4 linked regions of the Danio rerio genome follow. Each later gene encodes a partner of the first gene's protein in a complex. Links are inferred from orthologs where the notes say so. Each region holds a gene or a part of one and is shown on either strand. Other genes may lie near its edges.

The links.
Region 2: herpud1 (region 1) and ube2j1 share a complex: the UniProt entries of both Homo sapiens proteins name them as parts of the HRD1 complex. The link is inferred for Danio rerio from reciprocal best matches to the Homo sapiens genes HERPUD1 and UBE2J1.
Region 3: herpud1 (region 1) and fam8a1a share a complex: the UniProt entries of both Homo sapiens proteins name them as parts of the HRD1 complex. The link is inferred for Danio rerio from reciprocal best matches to the Homo sapiens genes HERPUD1 and FAM8A1.
Region 4: herpud1 (region 1) and os9 share a complex: the UniProt entries of both Homo sapiens proteins name them as parts of the HRD1 complex. The link is inferred for Danio rerio from reciprocal best matches to the Homo sapiens genes HERPUD1 and OS9.

What each region holds. Positions count from the first base shown.
Region 1 is NC_133193.1:18,990,773-18,994,687, reverse strand, and holds the end of herpud1 (homocysteine-responsive endoplasmic reticulum-resident ubiquitin-like domain member 1 protein), read right to left. Parts: intron 2,227-3,915; coding exon 2,062-2,226; 3' UTR 1,194-2,061; downstream 1-1,193. UniProt on the Homo sapiens protein: Component of the endoplasmic reticulum quality control (ERQC) system also called ER-associated degradation (ERAD) involved in ubiquitin-dependent degradation of misfolded endoplasmic reticulum proteins.
Region 2 is NC_133195.1:1,234,496-1,239,964, forward strand, and holds the start of ube2j1 (ubiquitin-conjugating enzyme E2 J1), read right to left. Parts: upstream 3,371-5,469; 5' UTR 3,190-3,370; coding exon 3,159-3,189; intron 1,813-3,158; coding exon 1,739-1,812; intron 253-1,738; coding exon 121-252; intron 1-120. Other genes in the region: lyrm2 (LYR motif-containing protein 2), read left to right, coding at 5,396-5,440. UniProt on the Homo sapiens protein: Catalyzes the covalent attachment of ubiquitin to other proteins. Functions in the selective degradation of misfolded membrane proteins from the endoplasmic reticulum (ERAD) and is essential for cells to recover from ER stress.
Region 3 is NC_133194.1:34,653,831-34,659,079, reverse strand, and holds the start of fam8a1a (protein FAM8A1), read right to left. Parts: upstream 3,371-5,249; 5' UTR 3,285-3,370; coding exon 2,945-3,284; intron 1,834-2,944; coding exon 1,713-1,833; intron 1,383-1,712; coding exon 1,259-1,382; intron 1,030-1,258; coding exon 890-1,029; intron 1-889. UniProt on the Homo sapiens protein: Plays a role in the assembly of the HRD1 complex, a complex involved in the ubiquitin-proteasome-dependent process of ER-associated degradation (ERAD).
Region 4 is NC_133181.1:41,765,060-41,770,487, forward strand, and holds the start of os9 (protein OS-9), read right to left. Parts: upstream 3,371-5,428; 5' UTR 3,341-3,370; coding exon 3,191-3,340; exon of another isoform or gene 2,818-3,190; coding exon 2,641-2,817; exon of another isoform or gene 2,617-2,640; intron 734-2,616; coding exon 670-733; intron 450-669; coding exon 373-449; intron 180-372; coding exon 81-179; intron 1-80. UniProt on the Homo sapiens protein: Lectin component of the HRD1 complex, which functions in endoplasmic reticulum (ER) quality control and ER-associated degradation (ERAD).

The DNA of each region.
Region 1 (3,915 bases):
TTATTTTACTCTTTAATTGCCAAATTTATAAATGATGTCACTGATTTGGTGAAAAAAGATGTATTTTTAAGGTAAAAAGTAATTGTGGACTGTTTCTTTAAAACAAAAATTTTAAAACACAGTCTTGGACATGTGAAAGATCAGTACCAACATTGGCTTTGACACATTGTTAGATTAATTTACTTACTTTTTGGTGACTGTTTTTGCTACATTGACTTCCAATATAACCACATTTGATGGTGCATAAATACACACACAGTCTTTGTTTTTATTTAGTCATTGTAGTTCTGAGAGCTGAGATGCATATTTTGATTTTATCAGACACTCAGTCAAGGCAAGTGCGCAAAGTTCACTCTCACAGACACACAATTTAATCTGCTGTTATATTCCATATAAAAGCCAGAAACTAGGCTTTTTTTGCACAGGCCTATCTAAAGGGTTAATGTTGCAAACTAATGATCAATGGTAAAAATCAAAATCAAATGGGAATCAAAAACAATGCATCAAAGGGAATGTTGTTTCACATTCAAGAGTTTGATCAAATGTAATAGAAAATCCAGTCCACAACTACTTTCTATAAAGAAAATCCATCATTTTGTGTTTGTTCACCAAATCAGTAACTAAAGAGTTAAAATCCTGAAATTTTCTAAGAAATGTAGTATTTTTGATCAAGATTGAAGCTGAATAACAGATTTATCGGATGCATTTTTACAGCAGTTTAGTTTAGTGGTATTTTCATCCCGAACATAACAAAAGGGTAGGAAACCTTGTCATAGTGCACCATTGAGTTTTAAAATAAGTGTCAAAATATAATGTCACCAAAAATCATTCAGCTAGCTGAAACAGAAACAGTTAAATTAAATTAAAACTCAAAAATCACCCCAGAGAGGCTATAAAACATGCAACAGCACATATGGGTAATACATGTACACAAGCCACCAACTGGATGAACTAGCTGCATAATGCATGTATCTGACCTAGGAGAAATACAAACTATAGTAAGATCAAAGTATTTACATTACATTTTTAAATGATGAACTCAAACTTGGGAAAAAACAGCTTTCAGATTCAGAACTTTCAGATAGATGTTTAAAATTAAAAAAAAACTACACAAGAAAAAGTGATACAAATAAAATCAAAACCCTGTTACATTTCTATGACACTATTCAAAGAGCTTCAAAGTGAAACTGAAATGAGGAAATTGTGTTTATTGTTTTCATTTTCTGGTACAAAGAGGCTTACTTTCATGATGTTAATAACAAAGCTTGATTATACATAATCTGAAATGACAGCAATGCTACAGTGTTGATAAATATCAGATTACAAATCAGTCATTTGAATTTTTCATATATATTATTAGTTATATTTTGTTCTCCTCTTTTGCAGGTCCCAAAGTGCAGTTCCATCATGTCATGAAGATGCGATATTCAAAGTGTGGTTCATTCACCTTCTGCTCATCCCGAGGTCACCAACAAACTCTCCTCATTGAATTGCAAATTCCACTCACAATACTTGAACGCGTCCCTCATAAATATTAACATTACTCATTTCACAGGTCGAGCACAATTAAAAAAGAGAACATGTAGGCATACTTTACTTGCATAAACGCCATTAGCTTCAAAGTACCACAAATGCATTTTCCCAAGCACTTTCCATCTTTTCATGCGCTTAGAACAAAATCAATATGTGGCCTTCGTCGTCCATCATACTAGAACCTTAATAAGATAATCCCATGAGTTTAATCCTTGGACACTCATCGAGGAGCACTTCAAAAAAATGAAGTCTTGGTGACAGAAGCCTACATAAGAGGATCAGGTCAGGCAACCGACACTATCGATTCCAGCCGTTGCGGTTATCTAAAGTGCTGTGCAAAAACTGTCCAGCGATATTTACAACTCCATGTCCAAGCACTTGTTTGTTTAGAATGTGCAGCCATAGGTCACACAGCCAAAAGAACTGGAAAGTGCTACCACTTCTAGGATTTGTAGCCTTTGTTTATAATGTCCTGTCCTAAGAGCTTGATAGTTCAGTTTTTGTCATTTCTGTCTGACTGCTTCTGGATCAGTTTGCAATACCCTGTGGAGGCTCAGGTATCAGAGAAGCAAAAAAGGCTTTAAAAAACACCCAGGCAGTCCATAGGATGGGTGCTCTGACTTGGGGAACAGGCACTGCTGTCATCGCGGGGTCAACAACACCAACATCCTCCACTTCAGCAGGTGGCGCCACCTTTAAAAAAGGATGTAAGAATAAGGATAAGCCACACACATTTACACTGACTTCTGCTATGACAAGCGTCAGTTGAAGAATCAATAGAATGATGAAGATGATGCAGTCAGTGCAAGAACTTAAAAACACTGCAAATAAAAATACTTTTTCCTTGTTTTCTTATTGAGGCATGCTCAGAGCAAAATCACCGCTCATGTTAACTGTGAGGTATCATTTCAGAATGTGGGTCAATGAATTCATCACTGAGGGATGACACTAAACTCCAGGTTAGTTTTCTTGTGCAACTGTGTCTTTACTTTTCCTTTCCTTTGTAATATTTTTCCTCAGGCCAACTTAAATCCTCTCCAACTTAAATAGTTTGCAAATCATTTGCTACCAGTTTTCTTATGCTCACAAACATACATGACGCAACTGTTTATGGTTTTTGTAACCTATAAAGCCACTTAATTGTAAATACTTTCATATAAATATTTTTATTTCTTATTTGTACAGTTAAAAAAAAAGAAAGTCAACAATGCACATATTGCACAAACCTTATCTATCTATCTATCTATCTATCTATCTATCTATCTATCTATCTATCTATCTATCTATCTATCTATCTATCTATCTATCTATCTATCTATCTATCTATCTTCCACTTGTTTAATCCACTTATTTAAATGTCATTCTGTGTTCTTGTGTTGATATGTATGTACCCAGAATACCTTGTTTTACGCACACATGGTGAATAAAACTCATATTTATTGTCATTCAGTATGACAACTGAGATCCAACACTTTGACATGAAGTTGACCATTTTTATGCAGTCTAACAAGCTACAATCTTTTAGGATTATAAAAAAAAATATATATAAATATATATATTTATTATCATCTATACAACGATGACCGTTTTCTTACATTTGATTGTTTAATTTCTTCACTTGAATACTGTTACACTTTCCAAAAAACTATAAAAATCACTGTTTATTTGGCTTGTAATTTATTATAAGTTATGTAGATCCACCACATAGAAAAAAACTTGATCATTCCTGTCAATCTAAATCCCTGTAATCTTTCTAAAGTTATCTAATGAAACTATATTCATATTGCAAAATATAAATCACAGAACAATATACATGCATACATACATACACACACATAGATACCACACACCAAAGATGGACAATATTGGTAAAATCTGACATTGTGATATTTTGTTTTCTGCAATTTATATTTAGTATATATATCATTTTATTAGGTGATTTAAATACCTCTATTTGGAAAGATTACATCAATTTAAGTCGACTGGAATGATCTTATTTTTTATTTATGCAGTGGAGCTACAAAAATTATAATAAATTAAAAGCTAAATAAACTGCTAAATGGGTTTTATGGGGAGTATTTAAGTACAGAAATCAAACAATCAAAAGTAAAATAACATGGCCATCATTGTATAAATAAAAAAAATAATAAAAAACAAAACAATAATGTAAAAAAATGGCAAAGAAATAAATATATAAATGAATATTTTTTTAAATAGTTTTAAAAACAAATTATTTAAAAATAATAATAATTAATAAACAAAACAATTAAATAATAATAATAAAAATAATTAAATATAAATATATCTTTTACAAATATTGTAATATAAATGCTCAGATAAATGCGCATTCTGCCCTGATTTGCACAGTGTGAGCATTTTTCT
Region 2 (5,469 bases), on another chromosome or scaffold:
ACAAGGAAAAAATTAAAAAGGGTGTAAAAACATAAAAATTATAATTAAAATTAATTTATCTTTCTATTATAGCAATACTGTCTCAGTTGGATAGAGCAGTGAAAAAGGCGGTGTAATTACAGTGAGCAGTATGATGCTGGGGGGCTTCATGGGGTATTCAGGAGGAAGAACGATCCGGCCGTGATAAACTCCTCCATCGAAATCAGAGTCTGGAGGTCCTCGAACGGAGAAGTGCCACTCGAACAGGTTATCCTGATCAACACAAGACAGTCACACTGAGTATAATAACACTGCAATTACTGCATGCAAGCTTGACTTCAACATGGATGATCACACACAGAGTAATAATCTAATCTGAATCTTCATGCAGATAAAACAAGCTCTCCATGCATAGGCAATAAATGCTCACAAATCGTTTATGGATGTTCCTCAAAATGACAAAAACCTTATTTGAAATCTGTGTGAAATCAAAAGGAGTACAATGTTTATCTTGCTAGCTCATATTGTCTCTTTAAATTGAATAATTAATCAGTGTAAGTTAAAAGTTTGAGTAAAAAAAAAAAGGTTTGTTTTGGTAATCTTCAATCAAACTCTGAGCATCTGCTTCTGTGTTTGGAGTGGTTGTCTTTCTGTTGATGCCAACCTGAGGGTTGCTATAGCAACTGCATATTAATGTTCCTAACCACGCCCCTCTTACTGTTAGTTTGCTACAAGGAAATGATGCACAAAAGGAAAGCCCCACCCCCTACTCAATATTCCGTTTCAGTTGGAAGCACATCAACATACTGAAGTCTCAGCAACTTCTGGTTCAGCCAGATTCAGTACACTTCAAAAGTCTGAAGAATAATCAAGCTATTTAAAAAATAATAAAATGCTTTTAATATCTTGAAATAATTAAAGTCTATTTGAATAATGAATTATATAAAATGATAAAAGTATTTATGTAACAAGTTAATGAATAAAATATAAATTACAACTGTTGTTTTGCATTTTAACTGCATTTTGTGCATTAAAAACTTACATTTAATAACACAACAAATACACATTTTTATAGTTTAATGTTGACTGATTTAGCGTTTTAATAATAGAAGTTACAAAATGAATCCTAATTAAATATAATTTATTATCAACTTCAGATTTTTGATTGACATCAAACTTTTAAAAGATCATAATAATTATAAAAAAATTGATGTAACAATTCAGTCAATTAAATATAACTAATAACTGTTTACATTTACATAACAACTAGTTACGTTTATAATATTCAACATCAAACATAATAATCGCAAAAAATAATACTAATTTTCATAGTCGAATATTCAATGTTTTAGCATTTTAACAGTTCTTGACAGTTCATAGTTACACGATAAATCATAATTATTTCAATAGAATTGATCAACTTGATTGACTTCAAATTCGGATCAATTCAAATTTATGAACAATTTAATAAATTAAATATAAATAACTCCATTTAAATAACAAGATGCATTTAAAACGTTTAACATTTATAATACGAACAACAATGAATAATACTAATTGTCAGTCTAATATTCATTGTTTCTTCTGAACATTTACAGAATTAAACATTCTGTAACTTCTGTTATTAAAACGTCAAACAAGCAAGACACAAACAGCGCTACAGAAAACACACGTTTCACATAAAGTTACACACTAAAACAGATGATAACGCATGAAGAAACTCCCAGAAATTCAATTCCTATAAATAATAAAGTCTCACCTCCAGTGGCTGAGCGTGATAATGTTCTGTGGGGTCACGAAGCTCTGCCGCCTCCTTCATCAGCCTCTTCACAGCTAACACACACACACACACACACACACACACACACACACACACACACACACACACACACACACACACACACAGTATTATTAGTTTACTAAATTTGAAAATTTGCCTAGTTTAACAAAAGCAGGGTTTATTGAACAGAGAATGGTCAGGCAAGCAACGATCAACACAAGGGCAAACAGATGTATACAGGCAGATCCAGAGTCATGCTCATATAACAGGCGGATGGTCAAAAGGCAGGCAGCAAACAACGTAAAACAAACAAAACAAAGCAAAGGTCAGACACGGAAGGCAAGGAAACCACGTCGTGATGTTCCCAATTCAGCATAACAAGACTCAGCCATGAGAGTGAACGTGTCAAGGCGAGACAGACGTGTGTGTGGTATAATCAGTACAAGAGCAGCTTCAGACTTTGAGCAGGTGTGTGTGTGTGGTGCATGACTGGAACTTGTAGTCCATGTAATGGTGGATGAGTGCATCTGAATGCAATGCTCAACACAGGTTGGAAATTTACTTGCGGTGGTGGCAGAATTGAAACACACCATTTACCTACAGCACATAAATAGTTAACTACAAACACACACATTTATTAAACACACACACACACACACACATTATATACACTCAGACACACATTACAAAGACACACATTACAAAGACACACACGCACACACACATTCATTAAACACAACCCCATTACAAACACACCCAATCATTACAAGCACTCATTTAAACACACACACACACACACATTACACTCAGACACACATTATAAAGACACACACAAACACACTCACTCAATACATACACTCATTTAAACACACACACACACACACTACACATACAAATGCATTACATACACACACATTACAAAGACACACACACACACACACACACACACACTACAAACACACACACTCACACACATGAAAAAGACACAAACACACACACACACGGAAAAGACACATGCATCAAAATGACAAGCATACACTACAAACACACACACACACACACACACACACACACACACACACACTACTAGCACACAAAATAAAAAGACACACACACAAACACACTACAAAGACACACATTAAAAACACACATAAATTACAAACACGCACACAATCAATCATTTATTACAAACTAATATTCATTACACACACACACACACGCACACACACCTGTGACTGCGGCTAGTAACGTAAGTCTACCGTTAGCTAGCTCGACACAGTGAAAAGACCGGCTGGACGGATGGATGAGTGCAGATGTTATGGTGTGGTTTATAGCTCGCGACAGCAGTGTGTGTGTGTGTGTGTGAGAGAGAGAGATAGAGATCAGAGGTTTGACTCACCTGGACTCTTCAGGTTGTATTTGCTCTCCATGATGCTCAATAATCCGGCGCTCGGCTGATCTGCGCTCCTGTGAGTGTGTGTTTATCCGCCGAGTGTGTGTTGTGTGAGCTCTGCCAGGTGTTTATCTAGAGCTGTAACCCTGACGTGGCAGCGCGCGCGGTGTGTGTGTGTGTGTTTTTACACACTTTCGAGATGAAATGTCTCAGATGTCACATGAAGAAAAAATGAAAACAGGAAGTAAACTTGTATTTTACAACGGAAAGCTTTATTGATGCGCCTGACAAGAACAACAGTGAGATTTGACGTCATGATTTTATGTTTTAAAAGTCTCCGTGAACCGGACGTTACTGAGACTTTTATTTCAGTATGTTGATGCGGGTTGACGTACTTCCAACTAGCTGTACGTATGCCCTGTGTAAAATGTTTAAATGTTGCTATATTTCTAAACAGCAATAAAAAATTATATATAAAAAACATATTTTAACTAAAACGAAATATTGAGTAGGGGCGGAAATGTTTTGTAGAAGGGATAACGTTATTTTTTTTTAAAAAGAATGGGATTGTTAGTAAATGTTGAACTATGGTTATAAATGCTGTATGTATTGTTCATTATTATAAATTTTCTCATTATTAGATTTTGTATACTTCCACTATGTGGTTTAGACTCAATATCAGTCCAAAAATATTAGTGGGGTATATGCACACGGACTTTTATTTTCAGTCAGCCAGCCTCAGGGCTTCCGGTTAATTGTCATCCCATACAAAATAAGATCTGATTTCTTTAAAAAAAATCAGTGATCTTCACTGCCTGGCTAAGATAGGATATAAAGTGGGTATCAGTCCAAGCAAGAAGCACTGCATTAAGTTATATTTCCCCCTGCCATGTCTTTAAAATATGGAAATTAATTTTACCTCAGTATTTTCAATGGAGTTTCTGCGCTCGCCTGCGGGTAATGATGGTGCCTGCGTTTAAACTGTCTTTCGTCTCTTTTTACGGTTTAACAACTAAATTAATGCTTTAGTCTATTGAACTGAATGCATTTTAATTACATTACAACATCAAGGCTGTAAAAGGAACCTTATGAAATTGAAAATAGTCACATAAAGATCTCACAGGAAGTTCATCATTGGCACTAGCTGTGCATAGAGCCGACAAATATTAAAGATTACATTTTTACATTAAAGCTATTTCGTGTTATAGTTACAGGATATGTATGCCTGCGAACACAAAGGGGGAAAAAACAGAATCTAAACAAAAATAATAAAATATGCAGGAATAAAACGGGAAATTGTCAAGAGAAGCTTTGTGAAGTCACGAATGGATGAACAAACTTTAATCTGTTTCTTGATTTAAGAAAAATTAAAGTCAACCCTGCTTATGCAACAGAATCAGATCAACCCGTTTAAGTGTTATAATAATAAATGTGAAATAAATTATGTGGAACGAAGAATGTAACACAATAATAATTTTGGAGTGACTAGTAAAATAATGGGCAGCCATCATGAAAATCTGCGAACATAATTGTATTAAATATAGACTTACTACAATTAACTCCGCAATTTAATTCTGACAATTATTATAAAATACTGAAAATACATATTAGATTCTTCAAGTAGATGGCGGTATTCGGCAACCAACCGGTTGTTGCTAGAAGGGATACAGCAACGGACGGAAGTTAGCGAGAATTATTTGTTCTATTCATTAATTTATACGTTAATTTTATTTTATTAACGTCTACCCCTACTTCAACACTAAACCTAATAATCACGGTAATGTTAAACCTGTAATTATACCTAGCATTATTCATATTATTTATTATATTACCCATTAAATTGTATTTTGTTAACGTCTACCCCTATCCTAACCCTAAACACAACCCGTATATTAATTATTGTACAGTCACACAAAAATTATGCTATACTGACGTGATTATCCGCAGCTGTATCCCTTCTAGACTAACTCTTCGTCAGATACAAAAGATGAAAAAGAAAACGCAGGTCTGGATCGGTTAACTCCTCCCCTTATTGCGCACTATCAGCGCACTACACAGCAAATGTGGGCGTTTCTGAATTTGAGGGTGTTTCCAAAATAATGGGTTGTTCCAATGAACATGATCGACCACACCCCTAAACCGCTGTCACTTTGAATCGAGCCAATCAGGTAGGACAATGGAAAAACGCCCCTCTAGTTTCACACAACAATTCCCTCCCACCACTTTCCTGCAGAGGAAAGAACATGGCGGTGTCTCGGTTACCACCAGCGGCTCTGAGTCTCAAACAGGTAAAGTCACGGTAAATCTTTGCTTATAA
Region 3 (5,249 bases), on another chromosome or scaffold:
ACAGACCTACACAAATCTCTGTATAAACTAAATATTGAAGAGGACCTATTTTACCCCTTTTACACAATGTAAGATACGCCTTTGGTGTCTCCAGAATGTGTCTGTAAAGTTTCAGGTCAAAATACCCATCAGATTATTTAATATAGCCTCCAGAATTTGTCCATTTTGGTGTCTGAGTACAGTGTAGCTGTTTTTGTAGCCTGTGGCTTTAAATAAAAATAAGCTGCTTCTCCCAGCCCAACGCTCCCACATGCATGTCGGCTTCACGTTACATCAGATAAACAGCAGTCAGTAATAAAGACAGACATGGATAAAGCTCAAATACAGCTCAGTCAAAAATATCAACTAAGCTTTTTTCATGTATGTGTGTTGGAGTTTATTCAAGCCTTTCGAAAATGATGAGTCACACACAAATGCCAATTGCAGTACACACACATATATATTTGTATTTGCTGACACCATGCGTGGTGTCAGCAAAGTGGTTGTTATAGCAGTTAAGAATTAGATAGCGATTTAACTTTCTTTATTAGAAACATGCTCTGTTTTACAAACGTTTTAAACTTATAAAACTGTGAAAGAAATCACAGAGAGTTGGAAGTGATTTAAAAAAATGTTCTGTTGACGTGTATATATGTTATTATAGAAACATGGCACCTGTCAATCAATTCAGTGGGCGGGGAAAACCGCATTCTTACGTCAAGTTGCAGTGGGGCTCAAAATCACTGGGATTTGGGTCCTATTTTAACATCAGGAAATTTAAAAAAAAGAGGCTTCTTGTGTTTCTATGACTTTAATATGACCGTGGACAAACTATACCTACACACAGTTCTGTCCAAACCGTTTTACAAAAGATGATATATATATATATATATATATATGCATAACTCACGCAGATAAGCTGACAGTGGATGCTGGTACCACCAAAACCCGATTCGGTTGCACCAGGACTGTCGTGTCACATGAGACGACTCGAAGACCCAAAAGAAACTTTCCTGGAGTGGCACCTCCAGCTCCCCAAATACAGATGATCTGCAGAAAAAGACAAAAACAGACTGTATGAGTGCAGGCAAGATGTCTACAATTTATTCAAATCACTTTAGACCACAGAGTTTTCCCTCCAAATACTGTTATTAAGCAACAAGAGTACAAGGATGAAAATGCTGATCAAAAATGTACTGTGAATATATACAAGGTTTGTAATTTTGTTTTTCCAAGATGAAAAAAAAAACATGCTAGAATCTCAAGGAGACTCACTTACTTCATAAACACACACCAGTACTCTGTATGCTAAAGCCACGACCATCATCTTCTGCAGGTCCTCCAATGACGTGTTCTCATCAATCTCTTCCACTATAAACTGCATTATGAATTTGGAAATATCTCTGTTCAGAAGATCAAAGAAGACATTTGAACTGTCATTATACAATACTCTATGCAATATATTTAAAATGCCATGTGTCATTTGCTCAAAATAATGTTAAAGGTGTAGGCCTAATAATGCATAAATAATTACAATCTAATAGAACTGTTTATTATTTAATATATTTTCCTGTGCTCAATAAACATTTCTAATCATTATCAATGTTAAAAACAGATGTTGCTTAAAAATAAAAGCACTTACTGATTTTTCTGTGGTCTTTTGGGCATTTTATTTTAATTGAAATCCTGTCTTAATAAAAGTATTTTCTTTTAAATATATATTCTCAACTCACTTCATTCCACAGAGATGCATGATCCACAACACTATGGTTGCTTTCACACAGAAGAGAATGAAGAAATCGACAGTTTCAGCCAGAAATCTGCGTAGAGGAGAGGGTATAATGTATTCTCTACCTGAAAGGAAAAAGATCATGTTATGAAAGACTACCTATGGATGCACGTTTAATATTTTCACTGTCACAAAAACTGTGCATTCTTAAGTTAGTTTATTTGACTTGATTCTTGCATTAAAACATATAGTAGTACGTGTCATGTAAATTAATGTTGTTCTTTTTAGTCTTTAAGCTTTTTAGTTTCTTGAATCAAATTATTTCACATTGAACACACTGGCCGGGAAATGCCCATTTTAGACTTTTTTATTGTTGTTTAAAATGTTTAAATATACTAGGTACTACTGAATTTAATTAAAGTTACTTATATAGCGCTTTTCACAGTAGTTATTGTTTCAAATCAGCTTTTCAAAAGATGCAAATTATTGTAATATAATCAAAATCAGAAAAGTTGAGTTATTAGTTACCATAACTGTATTAATTGCTAGTAAATACTTTAATTAACTAGTAAGCAATAGCTTTTAACAGTTCAAGTTATTATATATAAGCATAGTTGAGTTGCAGTTACACAGTATGTAGGTGATGTCATTGTTGTACATGTTCAATGAAGTGCATCATCATCTCTTCACAGATCTTGGATAGCACTACTAAAGAACTATAATACTGACACAAATAGCTCCATATTCTGAGCGGGAAAGTGGCATAGAATCACTTGTGATCTTCAGAGCGAACCACAAAAAATTACATTTACTATTAATTTACATTTACAAAACCAAATGAATAATGGTTATAAAAACACAGCATTGTAATATACAAATAAAGTGTGTTCAGTTTCCTGCATATCATTTCACTTCAAATGTTGTCAATGTATCTTCATCATGAGCCACGTGTATTAGTTTTACTTTGCCTCTGCATGTTTTTTTGACACTCAAGGTGTCAGTAGTCATTGACAAGACAGAGTGCATTATAATTTTGGGGTAAACTATCCCTTTAAATTAGGAAATACATAATACCAAAGTGAATACAACTATAGAGACTGTGAAGGAAAATCTACAATTTACACAAAATGTAAATGAATTTTATTAGGTTCTTTATTAACGTGTGTTTTAAGGATTTTTGTTTAAAGCTAACTAGTCTTTCTTCTCAGATGACTGCGTTACTGACAGTTACTCTACCTGCGGGCTGTGCTGCCCCTCTGTCCCCAGTGCTGGATGTGGCGGTGTCTGCTGGACGGATGGCTCCCGGGCTGCTCATTTGGTTGTACCAGGCGGCGATGTCCGCCGGCGTTGTGGGATACACGGATGCAGAGCTGCCCGGTGCCTGGCAACCGAACTGAGGCGGAGGAAAGAGCGGCGCGGACATCAACACCCAGCTCTGCCAGCTCACATATCCGCTGTAGTAGCGCCACATCCACTGCTGCAGCCGCGCGCAGTACTCGTTCGTTGTCATCTTATCATCGTCATTGGCTCCTTCGCCGTTTTTGTCCGCCTCTTTCGCACTGTTCTTCTTTGCCATGTTCACCTCTTAAATAAATCCTATTTTCACTTCCTTCCACTCACTAAAGAGGCTAATCTTCTCAGAGAACGGCCATGACAACTGCTCATTTAAGCTGGAATATACCATTGTACCCGTGGTGCAACGTGCTTGGAGTTGTTTTGTGTTTTTACTTTAATATCTTTGACAAGCGAATGAAACTAAATTTTCATAATTAGTTTTTTGTAGCAAAACGATTGTGCAAACTGGTCACGTAGATTCAAATAAAAAATGCCCGCCATTTGTGCACCCCCGTGTTATTCAATAATGTTGCAGCCTGCAAAGTTTACAAAAAGGTTCATAGCAGAGAAATGAGCTACATTGTTCGTGTTTATTCATTTTGGTTAATTAAACATATCGGATTGATTATTGTTAGTTTGTTAGCTCAGTTCCAGTAAGCTATCGGTTAGTAAATGTTTACTAACACTTTAATGTTAAATTAACCGTAAATAAATTCTCTGTGTTTATGTTAACTAATGCTGTAGTTAAACTTATGTTAAATGAAACCTTTATTGTAAAGTGTTACCATGTTAATAACAATCGGTTATTCAACACAGAAGTCATATAACTATAAACGATTTAAATAATTTTTTTATTTGTAGCTAGTAAAATATTGAAAGTAGATACTATATCCCTGCTGAAAAAGCTTAAACCAGCCTATTTTCTAGCCTGACCAAGACCAGGCTGAAAATGACAGGACACCAGCCTGGAAATGGCCAAAACCCCTCTAAAACCAGACTGGTCAATCAGCTAAAACCAGTCAACCAGCCTAGGCTAGTTTAAGCGTTTTTTTAGCAGGGATGTAATGGTAAAATATTTATACTTACAGAAAAAAGTAATTAACCTGCTAGTGACTTATTACTTTATTTATTTATATTATCAGATTTTTACAATAATTTATAAATATGGGTAAAATGGTGGCTTAGTGGTTAGCACTGTTCTCCTCACAGCAAGAAGGTCGCTCGTTCGAGCCTCTTCTGGGTCAGTTGGCATTTCTGTGTGGAGTTTGCATGTTCTCCCAGTGTTTGCGTGAGTTTTCTCCGGGTGCTCCGATATCCCCCACAATCCAAAGACATGCGGTACAGGTGAATTAAATAAGCTAAATTGGCCGTGTGTATTTGTGTGAATGAGAGTGTATGGGTGTTTCCCAGTACTGGGTTTCAGCTAGAAGGGCATGCTGGATAAGTTTGTGGTTCATTTTGCTTAGGCGACCCCTTACGAATAAAGTAATTAAGCCGAAAATGAATGAATAAAGGCATTGAATAAAATAAGTGTTATAATAGCCTACGTAATGGTAAAATAATTTTTTTACAGAAAAAATGGTAGTGCTGGAGACTTAAGGCTGCTTTATTTTTATTCTATCTATCTATCTATCTATCTATCTATCTATCTATCTATCTATCTATCTATCTATCTATCTATCTATCTATCTATCTGATTTTTTATATTTACATAAATATAATGTTGACAAATAGGCCTACTATATTTTCGTGTTTTGAAGAAAAGTTTTATTAATGAGCACATAAATTAAATGTTCTTCTTAATAAAAAATCCACACGTTATTAACCCCAGAAAACATTCATTTAACAATTTTAGAATGTTTTTGGGTGTTAATAACGTGTGGATTCATTATAAAGATGGCGAGCTAAGCACATGTAGTTTTCTCTGCTCTATATTTTTGATTTATTGACCAAGATTCTATATTGTATCATCCCGATTACAGTTTTATTGTTGACTCGTTTAAGTAGATTGAAATTCTTTCAACAAAATAAAGCTCTACACAACCCCCCAACCCCAAAAAAGAAAGTTAGTCATCTTTGTTTAAATTCATTACCACTAGATGGCGACAGTGTCTTTTACATGATTTAGAATTTGCAGTGAAAATGAACTGATTTATTCTCAATATTTTCTGCATTTTAACATGTATGTCAACATAAATTTAATGAC
Region 4 (5,428 bases), on another chromosome or scaffold:
TAGCCATTAGACTGACTTCAATAATACTCTTTCTTCATTATTTTTCTCTATAGTCTGGAATATGGCACTTAGTATCTTACTCTGACTTCCGTCTCTCTGGGACTGCCGTTTAAGTCACATTTTGAGCCATTGACATATGACTGACTGTGATACCTCTTCAGCTTATGCTGCTTAGATGCCTGAAAAAAAAAGATCAACAAGATTTTAATTTTGTAACTACAAAATATATAGAAGATAACTACAGACTTGTTAACATAAAAGTGGTTAATAAAAAATATTTACTGCTAGTATCAGAATTCCTAATTTGAATTGACAACATTTACAGACATTTTATTAGGACAAGCAAATCAAGATTAACAAACCTGACCTTACCTTTGCAGTTTCATTCGTCCAGTCAAACTCTGTATCATAATATCCCAAAAACAGTACATCTCCCTTGATCTCCGAATCTGCGATCACATATAGGGAACACATTTCAAACATCTTGAAATATTTAATAGTATATATTTATAGGCAGTGCATTTTCCTGAAAGGCTTCTGTCCTAAATTCTCTAAATTCCTTTCCATCTACTAATAAAAAACATGTTTATACAGGCAGTGCATATATATTTTTTAGACCATGTAAAACTCAATTTATCCAAGACACATTAGATAAAAGATTTAACCTGCCTTCTAAGTGGTATTGTCTGATGTGCTGGCCGTAGCAGAACTCATAGGTCCACCAGTCTTTGGTCTGCAAACAAAACATGAACAAGCTTCAGATCACAGCGACATGTAGTTTATCATTTTAACATGACCTAAAATGACTATAAATGTACATCATTTATTACGTCTTAATTTACACATACTCTACATAGCCACTCCAAATGTGCTTTTTTTTCAAAACAACATTTTTGATTGAGAGAATATGATCAGAGAGAACAGTTTTTACTTTATTACTACAAACTTTTACACAAAACAGAAAATTCTGTCATCAATTACCCACTCTTCACTTGTTCCAATCATGTTTGACTTTCTTCTGATAAACACAAAATAAGATATTTAGAAAAAAGCTGGAACCATTCATTTCCATAGTATTTGGTTTTCTTACCATGAAAGTCAGATGTTGCTGGTTGCAAACTTTCTTAACAATGTTTTTATTTTGTTTGAAACCACACGAGGGTGAGTAAATTTTTATTTTTGAGACTCTTTAAGTACCTGCACTTTATTGGGGTATTTTATTATGGGAATCTTTTGCTTAACTGCAAAGCATAATATTTGACTTTTTACACCCTTATATTTGTTAAAAAATGTGTTATATTTATTTATATTCAATTTGCAAATCGCACTGAACCATTTATTTTTAACTGAAGTGGACAATTCTCAAGTCTGAATGGAAGATGCTTTAAGACTGACTCAACTGTAAATTAAAATATAATTTATTCTAGTTAATGGAGTTTACTTTAAACACGCACTTCAGTTTTTGTCAGCTTCTGCTTTGAATTCTTGAGCTTTGGCTGTCAATATGTTAATTTTTTTCAGAAGTTTTATAAAACTATATCTCATGATTATACAATAGTTATCGTTGTTGGCGTAAATGGGAATTTAGACCATTTTTGTATAGTTGTTTTAATATGCAGGAATATATGCTGTATTTTATTATTGGCTGCACACTTGCATTATGATTATCAAATAATTTTTATAGAACATTATACTATAATGGCCGAGAGAGCTTAACATGGTGCAATTTTAAGAAAGCACATGCAATTACAAAAAATGGTAATTAATTAGGAACAGATGTTCATCCGTTTGACAGCACATGTGACGCAAATCCTCACAACGGAAACACATTTTTAAAAAAACATTGCATTCTCACAACACAAACAAATTAATAAAATGTGCTGCATTTTCTTACAACGCATTCAAATAGCCTCGTAACACAACGGAAATGTTTCAAGGGGATCTAAATCATGAGAGACCTGGATATTTAGGTTTTGGCTATTTAGGATAATAACTACTAAAGACAAGGGAATCAGGATGTTCCAATAAACAAACCAAGAGAACTCACCTTTCAACAATCACCTACAATTTCAATGAGCAATAGGCATGGCACAGAAGCGCCTGTCACATTCATGGGTCCACCTGAAACATTTCCATTGTGTTCTGATGTATTGCGTTGAGAGAGAATGCAGCAGGTTTTCGTAAATCGTTTGTGTTTTGTGAAAATGAAGCACATTTTTAATGTGTTTGCGTTGTGGGGATTTGCACCATGTGTGCTGTCAAATAGATGAAGATATTTTTCTTAATTTACTGGCGGTTTTTTGTAATTCCTTTTGTTTTCTTAAACTGCAGCACATCAAGCTCTCTCTGCCACCGTAATATACATTAAAAGAATATTAGTAATCAAAAAAAATGTTTCTTGTAAAATAAACATTCAGCAGCCAGTACTTAGTAATAATATGTTCATTTTAAGACTAAACTACATCAAAAGCACTTTCAAACTTTTATTGGAGTCATATTTTATTATTATTTTTAATTTGTGTGCTTCATCCACCACTCCAGACTACACAACTTCTAATATCTATCTAGATCTGTGCCTGTGGATGAGTATATTCAGAGCTTGTGTATATTTAGTGTGCGAGTGACTGTGACAGAAACTACCTTAATCAGACATGCTGCCGTCTGCATGGGCTTGAGGAGCTCAGGGACCCCGGGGCCGCTGTAACCCTGCACATCAGGCTCTGACACCGGGTCCTGATGGAAACGCACTGCCTGAGCTGGTAAACGACACTCATACAGCTGCTTGTATTTGTTAGAGACCAACATTACATCTTCCATCTGAAAACAGGAATAGAAAGTCAAAATTAGAAAAGCAGAACTAGGGAGAGGTGCAACAGTTTACAACACAATCAAAAATGTAACTTCACCATGCTCATTTTCAACATATATATTAAAGTCATATTGTATTTACAATCAGGCACAATCTGTAGCATACCTGTGGAGGCACAGTCCAACTAACGTTATGCTAATAACCTGTCACAGCTAATTTACCATTCTTTAATTTAGCTATTGTTTTACTATCCTATATTCGACTATTAGACACCGAAACACGTAGTTGTTAATGGCAAATGTGCCATGCTGTGCTTAAAGCTAACAGCTGTTTGTTTGTATCAAACAAACATCCCCAGCTAGCTGCATCCCACAATCCTACCTGTCCCATGATAACAGGATCGGGGAGAATCTGTATGCCATATTTCATTTCGTTTAATTCTTCTAGATTCAAAAAGGCAAAGACAGACAGGAGACATGTTAAGAAAAACACATATAATCCTCTTAACCACTTAATCAAGGAGGAAGCCATAGTTCTCTCATATCGCAAACAAGCGTTGTCAAATGATTTGTTATTTGGTGCATGGCAGAGCGCTCTAGGGAACGTGGATTGGACAACGTTGTTAAAAGCGGACACCTTATTGGATGTTCAAAACGTCAGTCATGTTCAAAACGTGCGCTTATTGGAAAGCGTGTTGTAATTACCACCCATCATCCACGAAAATGAGTTCTATTGGACCCGCTGAGAACATGATAAGCAATGTAGTGTTACGTTTTAGACTCACGGGGCCGCTGTGGAACACATGAGAACCGCAGCCTGTCAAAATGATGAGAACACACACTGAAGTTTGAGATGGTGCTTTTGTCAAAATCTAACAAGTGAGAAATACACTCTGTAAGTGAGAAATATAAAGATAAAGTAAAATGTAATGTAGATTTTAGCAATAAGCAAACCACATATTAAGATGACATCCTTGACTTAAATATGATTAATTAGTTAATTATGATAAAGTTATTACACTAACATTCATTCATTTTCTTGTCGGTTTATCCCTTTATTAATCTGGGGTCGCCACAGTGAAATGAACCACCATCTTATCCAGCAAGTTTTTACGCAGCGGATGCCCTTCCAGCCACAACCCATCTCTGGGAAACATCCACACAGACATTTACCCACACACTCATACACTACAGACAATTTAGCCTACCCAATTCACCTGTACCACATGTCTTTGGACTGTGGGGGAAACCAGAGCACCCGGAGGAAACCAACAAGAAGGCAGGGAGAACGTGCAAACTCCACACAGACACGCCAACTGACCCGAGGTTCAAACCAGCGACCCAGCGACCTTCTTGCTTTAAGGCGACAGCACTACCTACTGCGCCACTGCCTCGCTTATATAGCGCTTTTTTTGGACACTCAAATCGCTTTACACATTTTTGGGTGAATCTCCTCATCAACCACCAGTGTGCAGCATCCAGATACCATTGACGCGACGGCAGCCATATTGCTCCAGTCCAAACCGCACACCAAACATCAGCTGATTGGTGGAAAGGAGACAGAATGATGAAGCCAATTATGATGGGGAGGAGGCCATGATGGACTAAAGCCAGTGGGGAGTTTTGGCCAGGATACCTGGTTTTAACCCCTACACTTTTTTGAAGGACATCCTGGGATTTTTAATGACCACAGAGAGTCAGGATCTCGTTTTAACGTCTCATCCGAAAGATGGCATGTTTAGGTTATTCATTAGCAGTTGAAGTTGAAGTTGTCCAGATGCAAAACATTTTTCTCATCCTCCTTTGTTTATGTTGAGATATTTCACTTTAGGCTAAAGACCATAAAAAGATGTAGCCTATCCTTTGCCATAAACGTTATATTACTGAATCTACACAAAATTCAGATGGTATTAAGAAGATATTGCATCTGAACTCTTCAGTTTTTTTCAAAGTGAATAATGAAACGGAATAATTGAAACATACAGAGATAAAGTCTAGGTGCAGTTTTTTTTTCTTTTTTTTACTGCTGGCAGTACATTACATTTTACAGCAGGGAGCACTTATGAAAATAATATTTTTTTTCGCTATGTAAAGAAATCTAAGTTAAATAAGTTACATATACTATACAGCCCACAATTGGGGCAAAATTTTAAAATGTTAAACTTTATTTGAAAAAAACAAAGGTTTTTTTGTGAATACATCGTCAGTGAATTAAAGACGTTAGAATCATGGCAAGAAAATTTAACAACTAAATGAAAGTGAGGCATTGAGAATAACCAAAGGAAACCTCACAGAACAGTGTCAATTGTGTCAATCAGTGTCATTTTTAAACCTGATCATGACTTTTTCCTTCGGCTTCGGTCCCTTTATTCATCAGGGGTCGCCATAGGAGTATGAACTGCTAACTTATATGTTTTACACAGCGGATGCCCTTCCAACTGCAACCCAGTACTGGAAAACATCCATACTCACTCATTTACAGGCATATAATACGGCCAATTTAGTTTATTCAATTCACCTATGGAGCATGTCTTTGGACTGTGCGGGACACCGGAGCACCAGGAGGAAACACATGTGAACACGGGGAGAACATGCGAACGCCACACAGAAATGCCAACTG